Kluyveromyces lactis: one gene and its partners. The protein of the gene in region 3 purifies or fractionates together with the protein of the main gene of each other region. This does not show direct contact. Links are inferred from orthologs where the notes say so. Each region holds a gene or a part of one and is shown on either strand. Other genes may lie near its edges. The genes, in order: SGF11, AHC1 and ADA2.

Region 1 (2,412 bases), on a different chromosome or scaffold from region 3:
GGCTTGACGCACGCCTTTGAAAACTTCCGGTAAGTGCTGATAGAAGAGTTTAAGGATTTCTTCATGGAAGAATCCCAGTTCTTATGAGATTTCGCTAGTTTCTCCCTAATAACAAGACGTTTCTGTGGACTTGATCCATGCTTCAGCAAATGCGCTTTCAATTTCTTCAACTGGATCTTAAAGTCGTGCACTTCTTCAACACATTTCCCAAGCTGGGTCCTGCGCTCGTCTTTATCAACGTATAATCTGGAATTGACCCATTGTTGATCTAAAGTCTCTAGCAAAGTCGACATAAGTAACTCAGTTTAATTCTCTGAAGGGTACTTGCTAGTTCTAGTGTCTCTAACTTTCCGCTCTTCTGTAGAGTAACACCTGACAACTCTTTACACCGTTATAATGATGGGTTAAAGATCGTTATCACAGGTTTAAGGGTACAGGGTACGATGCTGGACAACTTGATTTGAAATGACACACATTATGGGTTTGGGGGAAGATTTAAGGCTGCACTAAGGCTGGGTAATGAAATCTCACCTTCTACCACGTGATAAGCATCTAACGAGATGAGCAGCGAACCTGTTCCCACTAACTTCCCGTCCACAGACATTACATTCGATGTAAACGGCGGAGTCTGCTTGCTTTGCCTTACCGTGTATATCCAATGTTCCTGACGGGTCAGCGTAATACGGTTTAGCATCCGGGAATTGCAGTTTCAGAAGCTTTCTCTTCACTGTTTGACGCGAGATGATATCTTGGATGATAGAAGTAAGAATGTTCTGATATATGGAATCGGCAACCGAATCTGTGGTCAAAGAAGCAGTCATGGTTACAGCCACCTCTTGATAGTTGCAAATACTGAATAAGTCAAGTCAGTACTGTTGTCTTATGTCTGATCGTAGAACAGAATTGATTGTTTCAATATCAAAGTAAGCTAATTTGACCTTGCTTTTCTATTAAAATTGGATATTGCAGAAAATTGACGATAAGCACAGGGAATACAAGCAGAATACAAGAGACAACAGTCGACATGTTAGCGGCTACAATGCCTGATACCATGCATCTCATTACGGACAGATATTAATAGTATACTTGTAATAAATATGGGGATAAATAAAACGTACATACAAAGCGGAAAGAGATAGAGAGAGAGAAAGAAAGCACAGCTAATTCTCTCTATAACTTTGCATTCAATGCAGCAGCCTTTCTTGGGGATAAGCTCAGAGCTTCCTTTTTGATGTTTTCAGATAGACCACGGTCGACTCTTGCAAACATGGCAAATACACGGTCTTGGATTTCAGGGCATGCACTTGCTACGTGTACTGCGACATTGTGGGCCAATGCCTTTTGTTGACCTGGCTGTTTGCTCAACACTTTGTTATACAAGTCTCTGGCTTGAACGAAATCGATGTCTCCTGGTGAGGTTGCCCAATGTACAGGCATTGCAGGCCCAGACCATACTTCTTGATGTTGTTGAATTGGCTTTGATTGTTGAATGAATTGGTACTTCTTAGAAGTAGACAAATAGTTTGGCTCTTTGCCCAAATTGCCGTTAACGTTCATTGGGCCATCTCTGATAGCTGGGTTGAAAACCTTCGATGCATATGGACAATTAACAGGGATTTGAGAATAGTTAGGGCCTAATCTGTAACGATGGGCATCTGGATAAGAGAACAAACGTGCTTGTAAGACAGGGTCAGCAGAAGCTTCTTGGTATGGGACGGTGTGCGATGGGGAGAATGCAGCCTGTTCCACTTGAGCGAAGTAATTTTCTGGATTTTCATTCAAAACCATCTTACCTACACGACGCAATGGGAACTGCTTATGAGGCCAAACTTTTGTTAGATCGAATACAGAGAATGGCAATTTTTCTGCCTCTTCTTCGGTCATAGTTTGAATGTAAAGGGTCCAAGATGGGTAATTACCCTTGGCGATGTTTTCAAACAAATCCTTTTGACAGTAGTCAGGGTTTTCACCAGCCAACTTAGTCGCCTCCTCGTTGTTCAAGTTCTTAATACCTTGATCTGTCTTCAAATGCACTTGCACGTAGCGCCATTCACCTTGCTTGTTAGACCATTTGTAAGTATGACCCGAGTAACTGTTCATGTTACGATAAGAAGCTGGAGTACCACGATCGGAGAACAAGATCATCACTTGATGAATTGCGACTTGATTCTCCTCTGTCGTCAAAAAGTCCCAAAACATGTCAGCATCCTTCATATTGGTTTCTGGGTTTCTCTTTTGAGTATGAATGAAATGTGGGAACTTAGAAGGATCTCTGATGAAGAAGACTGGCGTGTTGTTGTTGACCCAGTCGACATTCCCTTCTTCACTATAGAACTTGATAGCGAACCCTCTTGGGTCACGTGCCGTATCGGCAGAACCCTTCTCACCACCAACAGTACTAAATCTAACAAG
Region 2 (2,841 bases), on a different chromosome or scaffold from region 3:
AACGACTTTATCGTACTTCCTATAACAACATCTCATATCTAAGATATCGCCCTTATGTGGTCTTTCACCTGATTTGGTATTGATGAACGCTTCGTCATAGATTGTCTCATCAATCAAGAAATAATATGATCTTTCTCTATTCGTTTCTGCATTGAAATCTGGAACGTTGCTAAAATGAAGATAAATCCCATCGGTTCTTTCATGTGAATGAGAAATGTCCTGAAATTGTGCGAAGATTCGAAGTCTTAACAACGTATCTCCTGCGTACTCCTCGATCTTTCCGGCAATTGTATCAAGATCCGTAATAATTTTGCTCATACTCTTCCTGTCATAAGATATATGCAGACATACCGGTAGTCAAGGGGAAGTGGCTCACTCATGTGTTCTCAATTTAAGTATTGCCCAGTTTATTAAAGTCTGGAAGATCTATCTAAAATGACTTTTGGAAAACTTTAAAAAAGGATAAATACAAAGAAATACTGATAACAACGGACTCTCTACCTGAGCTCATCACGGCTCAAAAGATTCTCAATATTTGTCCCTCACTAAGTGGTCATGTTGATTGGTTTACAGACACCAGCTTTCTTGTCGCGCTGTTTCCTCGACCCATTTCAAAATAGGCATAATTTATCCAATGTGTTTACGGTTTTAAACAGCTAGAGCCTTTCTCTTCATTCTCATTTTCCATATAAGTAGTAACAAAAAAAAAAAAAATTGTACATAACGGATTATTAACAATAGAAAGATTTTGGAAGAAAAGGGCGTAAAGACTGAGCAAATTTGTACATTAATAGACGTCCGTCACCCTATATTTGTTGCTAAACATATTCTAATGCATTCTGTGGATCATAGAAATAGTCATCAGGTACTTTTCATGGATGAAGATGATGTAGATAGCATTTCCAGATCAAACCACACGATATCATATTACCAAGTGGCAACTCCAAAATCACCACATGAACTCTCTTCTATAGCGGATAATGAGGATAATGACTCTATACACTCGTCACACCCACATGAAGATGCTGAAAGGTTAAAGTTTATGTCCACAAGAAGAGAAATACTGGACCAACTAAACTTGCAGATCATGTTGACACATAAAGAAATGGAGCATATAATAGAAGAGAATGATAAGGTATCCGGGCAGTTGGAAGTGTTAAAGATAATGCATGATGACCCTGAACTAACGGATAAGATCTCAAAGTACCAAGAGACGAGAACTAAAGAGGTGGAGGAAAGCATCAAGGCGGGATGCTCAAATGTGGAAACCCGCGAGGGAATCTATTACTACCATACAAGAAGTAAAGGCGGATCGAAAGTTAGTGGGCTACGGCTTGCTAATGAAAACGTTATTGACATTCGTATGCGTGGCATAAAGACTGTTCCTCAACAAACTTCAGCCACTGAGGTACAGAAATCAGAGGCAATAATTTCGAAGATGCCTCACCATAATCACCAACGAAACTTCAGTAGCACATGCGCTACTAGCAACAGTGGTATGATCGGAACCACTGACTTGGGTCAGCCTATATTCAGAAGACCTGATGGAATACTCATAATAATTACATGCTCTCAATGTGGAAGGGAAGGTTTCACATCTGCGCAAGGTATTGTCAATCATATGAGGCTAAAACATTTTCTCCACTATCAGTCACAACCCTTAGCGGTGCTCAGTAACCAGGTTATACTTCCGGATGAAAAGCAGGATCCAGAGATCCTAGCGAAGTTCAAAGAGTTAAAGAAAACTCCAAAGGATAGCTATTTGGCTTCGCCGATACCCTTACAACATAATGACAAAAAAATTACGAAAGACACGCCGAAGGCAACCTCGGTAGCTGAAGAATCCGCCCTAACGAAATCAACGACCCATCTTCAGAAAATGTATGGCAAGGACGATTTCAAGGATATAATCAACTACGTCAAGGACGCAAAGAATGATCTTGAAACGATAATGAAATATGAGGATGAGGAGGGTTTAGGAACCGCTTCAGAAGAAGAAGCAAAACCGAAACCTAGAAAAAGGAGTATGCTCAATGAACGGAATAAGCCTGCCGAAAAGAAAGCAAGACCAGATGTCATACATGTCACCGAGAATCACATTCCTGAGGAAGAAAAACGTTCTAGACATTATAATCTTCGTGCTAAGTCAAAGCTTAGGTCTTTCAATCGTGATGACTGAACGAAATTCAATATTTAAGGAACGAAAACACTATGTAACCATATAAATTAAAGAACTTTAATTGACTCCAGCGGATTGCGTTGCCAGCAATGTTTAATGCAATCACTTAGGTCGAATGTTTTATCTATTCAGTCATCCGTAACTTAAAAAGTTTTCCCCTATTGTCATGCAAAAAGATAATATTTTGAAAAATAAACTAGAATGAAATAGTACCTTGACGCTGGCCTACAATCCGTACAGGATTGTGGTAAAGTGCTTGTTATAAAGGAAAATATATGGGGAAGCTTGATGAAGGTGCGGGCTATGTGGAAAGAAAATAGGCGCTATTTCTCATCTAGGTGGTTTTATGCAATTGACATTCCTAAAACCAAACCTTTTGAATCAGAGTATGTACCAAAAACGGCACCTTTAAAATTTCAACCGTTCTCCAAGGTCGACTCCAAACGGATTGAGGACCTCTATACCCAGAAGAATTTCAGTAGGAAACTTGATGTTAATGAGGATCATCTTTTCGAGGTTGATCTGGAAAAGTTTTCTATGAATCCAATCTATTGGGACGGACCATCCTATGAAATACGAAGAGGTATCTGGTTTGATGACCAGAATAGGCCGTTGAGTCATGACTTAACCAAGGCTATTGAAGAATTACATCAGCAGTGGCT
Region 3 (3,428 bases):
GAAGAATCTGGGCACATCTTTTGTCAAGAAACATCAAGGATACTACGCCGTTACCAATTCGCAAGTCGATGAAGAGCTCAGCAGAAACGTTATGTCCTACCTGTTTGATAGATGCCTCGAGTATATCAACTTATTTTCGGAATTTCAAGATTTAAAAAGAGAATATCTGATAAATCACGTATTGCAATGGCTAAAGGACGAACATTATAATATTTCCCTTGAGAAAAGTATGCCAGAAAAATATGTGGAATTATTATTGCATGATGTTACATTAAATATCAAATTCATGCCTGCCGGCGAATTAAACATCGACAGTCTCCAATTGTCCTTCAAAAAGTATTCTGCATACATCAGCAAATTAGATGAGACGAATGCCAAACAACTTACTACATTATATTCTGGTTATTTGACCCAACATCTATTATCCAATATGGATAAATCTGATTCGAAGTATGCTATTTTGAATGCTATTATCAAGAAACTGTAATGAGACACTGTATACACATTTTTATGTACATATTTGACATTAAGTAGTAAGGTAAGCAGTGGAGCCAATATTTCCACAGTTTTATAACTCTAATTAAACCCAATTCTGAGAAACGAAGAAATCATAGATTCTGTTGGCCTTCGTTGCCTCGATATTCAATAAATCACGACACTGTTTCTTCGAGAGTTGACCTGCAGTCCGTATTAATTCTCTGAATAGTACCTCTTTGATGGCAATGTAAGGCTTTGGCAAAATTTTCAACGTTATGCATAACTGCTGTTCCTCAGCTGATAATAATTGGAAATCTGCCCCATGCTGAATGTCACTGATAGTCATTAGTTTCTTACGTCCACTTCCTTCGTTATAATTTTGAGCATAATCAGCTTGCGATCTATGGGCCGAAGTAGCTCTATAACGGGCAGTGTTACTAGATGAAGAAGAAGAGTACACTTGACTTCCAAATCTTTCCAATGTCATAATTCTTGCTTGTTTATCACGTTCATATTTAAGACCAGCTTCCAAAGTAGTGATACCGTTGCTCCTCCATTCTTGCAATTGATGAATTCTTGTTCGACACCGAAGTTCTTCCAATATGTCTTTGCTGAATTCTTCAAAATCCAGCGGGGACATGATTCTTGCGAAAGCCTTAATTTTGTTGTACAAATCTTTGGTTTCTTTTGAACGCTTCTTATCGAGACTTTGTAGTCTCCTGTATTCCATCAGACAATTGTCAAACAACAAACGCTTCTTTTCTGCTCTAGTCGTCAATCTCGAGTTGTAGATGTCAAGAATAGCCAACTTCACTTCAATATCTAACGGTTGATCATCGGCGTCGAAGACCATATCTTTGACCGGACCTTCGGCCTCATTCTCGAACTCCGTTTCGAATTCCAATCTACCTGGCATAAACCCTTGCACTTCATGGCATGACGGTTGTGATGCCATCGGTTTCCTAGGAGGTTCCAAAGGCCTTTCCCTAAATCTTTCCATGCGTTTCTTTCTTTTCTCCAAAAATTGTTCTTGCGGTTCATTAATGTCTTTTGTGATATCTGGAATAGGATAGTGTTCACTGTTCAAGTAAAACTTCAAATAATGATCATAAACTTCTTCCTTATCTCTAGATCCGATATGATCCGCAATATCTTGCCAGTTACCTAATCCCAGTGTCTGGGCTCCTTTTATCAACAGTAACTCTTCATCAGCGCCCCAATCCTCACAGAGAATCGGGTATGAGTTGGTTTCAATCACTTTATAGTCATGGCTTGGCCGGTGCTTACCGTTGTATAACCCTTTTGCGAAGCATGGCACACATAAATCATACTCTGGACACACCGCACATGTTATTCTGACTCTGTTTGTACAATCTGCAGAACAAATATCACAATGGAACTTGTTAGACATGGTGACGGTTGAACAAGGAGAAGCAGTTCAAAGTCAAACAGATGTAAAGCTAAATCACTATAACAGTTTGCGGGTCCTCGAAGTTAGTTATCTTTTTATATCAATGAGTTTGACTTATTCTTTAAACTCTCTTGAAATCACTTGTTGATTCTTTAGAACATCATAATTGAACTTTCCATGTAAACAGGAGAACAGAATGCGGGACTGTTACATCCTTACATTCTTATTAAGGATGAAAAATCTGAAAATCCTGAAATTCGAGAACGCTAATTTCATAAAATTTGATAAAACCAAAAGAGGAAATACTACTTGGCACTTCGTAAGAGAATTGGGACGGAGGGGAAAGGTGTGTGGACTGGTACTGGAAGACAGAATGTCTGTCTAGCTTGCTGTCATCCACACGAGACGCACTTTCGTTCCCGAGTCCCATCTCTGCCCACTTTGGATGCTACCACGCACTCTCTTACCAGCTGTTCCTTCGGTAACATTGTGTCCTCCAGTGACACCTTCTGCCTAGCTCTGTCCAGCTTAGTATTCCCTTTGCATTGTGCTTCGTTTCCGTTCCCCGGTTGTGAGTGAATCCTGGTTAGTCTGTTTGTTTCAACGTTTGCACCATGAAATTTCATACTGTCTAGTAATAATGAACTTTTAAAGATTACGGTAACATTTACAAGACCAATTGTTGACAGTACGTGTTTAACACTATTCTAGCATTTGAAACAAGGAACAACCGTAAGGACTAAATCGATACAAAATGGTACGTTAAGCATGATGATAACTGACAAATTGAAGCGAAAAGAACCATAAAGATAAGAGATTATGAGAAGAAGTGTTTTTCCAGAGCTGGATTGATCGGGAGACGTAGACTAATGACCAAAATCTACATTAAGAGAGATTATAGGAGGAATAGATAACCTGGACTTTGGGTTGGCACTGGTCACTGTAGAATAATAGAATGATGAGGAAGAAGACAAAACTATAGAAAGTGAGAAAGGTATTAAAAGTTGCACAATTTGGGAAGTACCAATCACCAGTTGAACATTATGGCATGTCAGGAGTGATGTATGACCATGTTCCAGTATTGTGACCCACAGTAAGGATCAAAACTCCGTCTGATGTAAAATGGAACAAAATAAAGCAAACGGCCTGCATTGATTAGTATATGAGCTACCACAACATCATATCCAACACAGTATTAATGGAGTTCATCACCCTAACGTTAAAGGTCTCTCACATGTAATAAAGTTGACGAAACGAACGCATATGTCCAATTATTTCCCCCAAAATGATGAACTTCACAGGATCAAATTCTTTCTCAGGTCTATCTTCCATGGAAGTTTTCGCAGAAGCAATATAAAATGAAGCCACTTTTACTAACAAGATCAAATCGATTCGTTGATATTATTTGAGTAGGGTAGAGTTAGAACCAAGACCGTCAAGCGTGCCTCCAAGGCTTTGATTGAAAAGTACTATCCAAAGTTGACCATGGATTTCCAAACCAACAAGAGATTGTGTGACGAAATCGCTACCATCCAATCTA

Evidence for each region.
Region 1: the proteins of ADA2 (region 3) and SGF11 purify together in Saccharomyces cerevisiae (affinity purification with mass spectrometry; 9 studies listed by BioGRID). This does not show direct contact. The link is inferred for Kluyveromyces lactis from reciprocal best matches to the Saccharomyces cerevisiae genes ADA2 and SGF11.
Region 2: the proteins of ADA2 (region 3) and AHC1 purify together in Saccharomyces cerevisiae (affinity purification with mass spectrometry; 3 studies listed by BioGRID, with this or other methods). This does not show direct contact. The link is inferred for Kluyveromyces lactis from reciprocal best matches to the Saccharomyces cerevisiae genes ADA2 and AHC1.

What each region holds. Positions count from the first base shown.
Region 1 is NC_006040.1:997,079-999,490, reverse strand, and holds SGF11 (SAGA histone acetyltransferase complex subunit SGF11), read right to left. Parts: upstream 822-2,412; coding exon 528-821; downstream 1-527. Other genes in the region: ubiquitin-protein ligase RMD5, read right to left, coding at 1-293; CTA1 (catalase A), read right to left, coding at 1,171-2,412. UniProt on the Saccharomyces cerevisiae protein: Component of the transcription coactivator SAGA complex. SAGA acts as a general cofactor required for essentially all RNA polymerase II transcription. At the promoters, SAGA is required for transcription pre-initiation complex (PIC) recruitment.
Region 2 is NC_006041.1:833,703-836,543, reverse strand, and holds AHC1 (Ahc1p), read left to right. Parts: upstream 1-832; coding exon 833-2,179; downstream 2,180-2,841. Other genes in the region: KLLA0_E09417g (uncharacterized protein), read right to left, coding at 1-318; DDL1 (putative carboxylic ester hydrolase), read left to right, coding at 2,468-2,841.
Region 3 is NC_006038.1:116,986-120,413, reverse strand, and holds ADA2 (chromatin-binding transcription regulator ADA2), read right to left. Parts: upstream 1,889-3,428; coding exon 581-1,888; downstream 1-580. Other genes in the region: snoRNA-binding rRNA-processing protein UTP6, read left to right, coding at 1-487; RPS17B (40S ribosomal protein eS17), read left to right, coding at 2,643-2,645, 3,302-3,428. UniProt on the Saccharomyces cerevisiae protein: Component of the transcription coactivator SAGA complex. SAGA acts as a general cofactor required for essentially all RNA polymerase II transcription. At the promoters, SAGA is required for transcription pre-initiation complex (PIC) recruitment.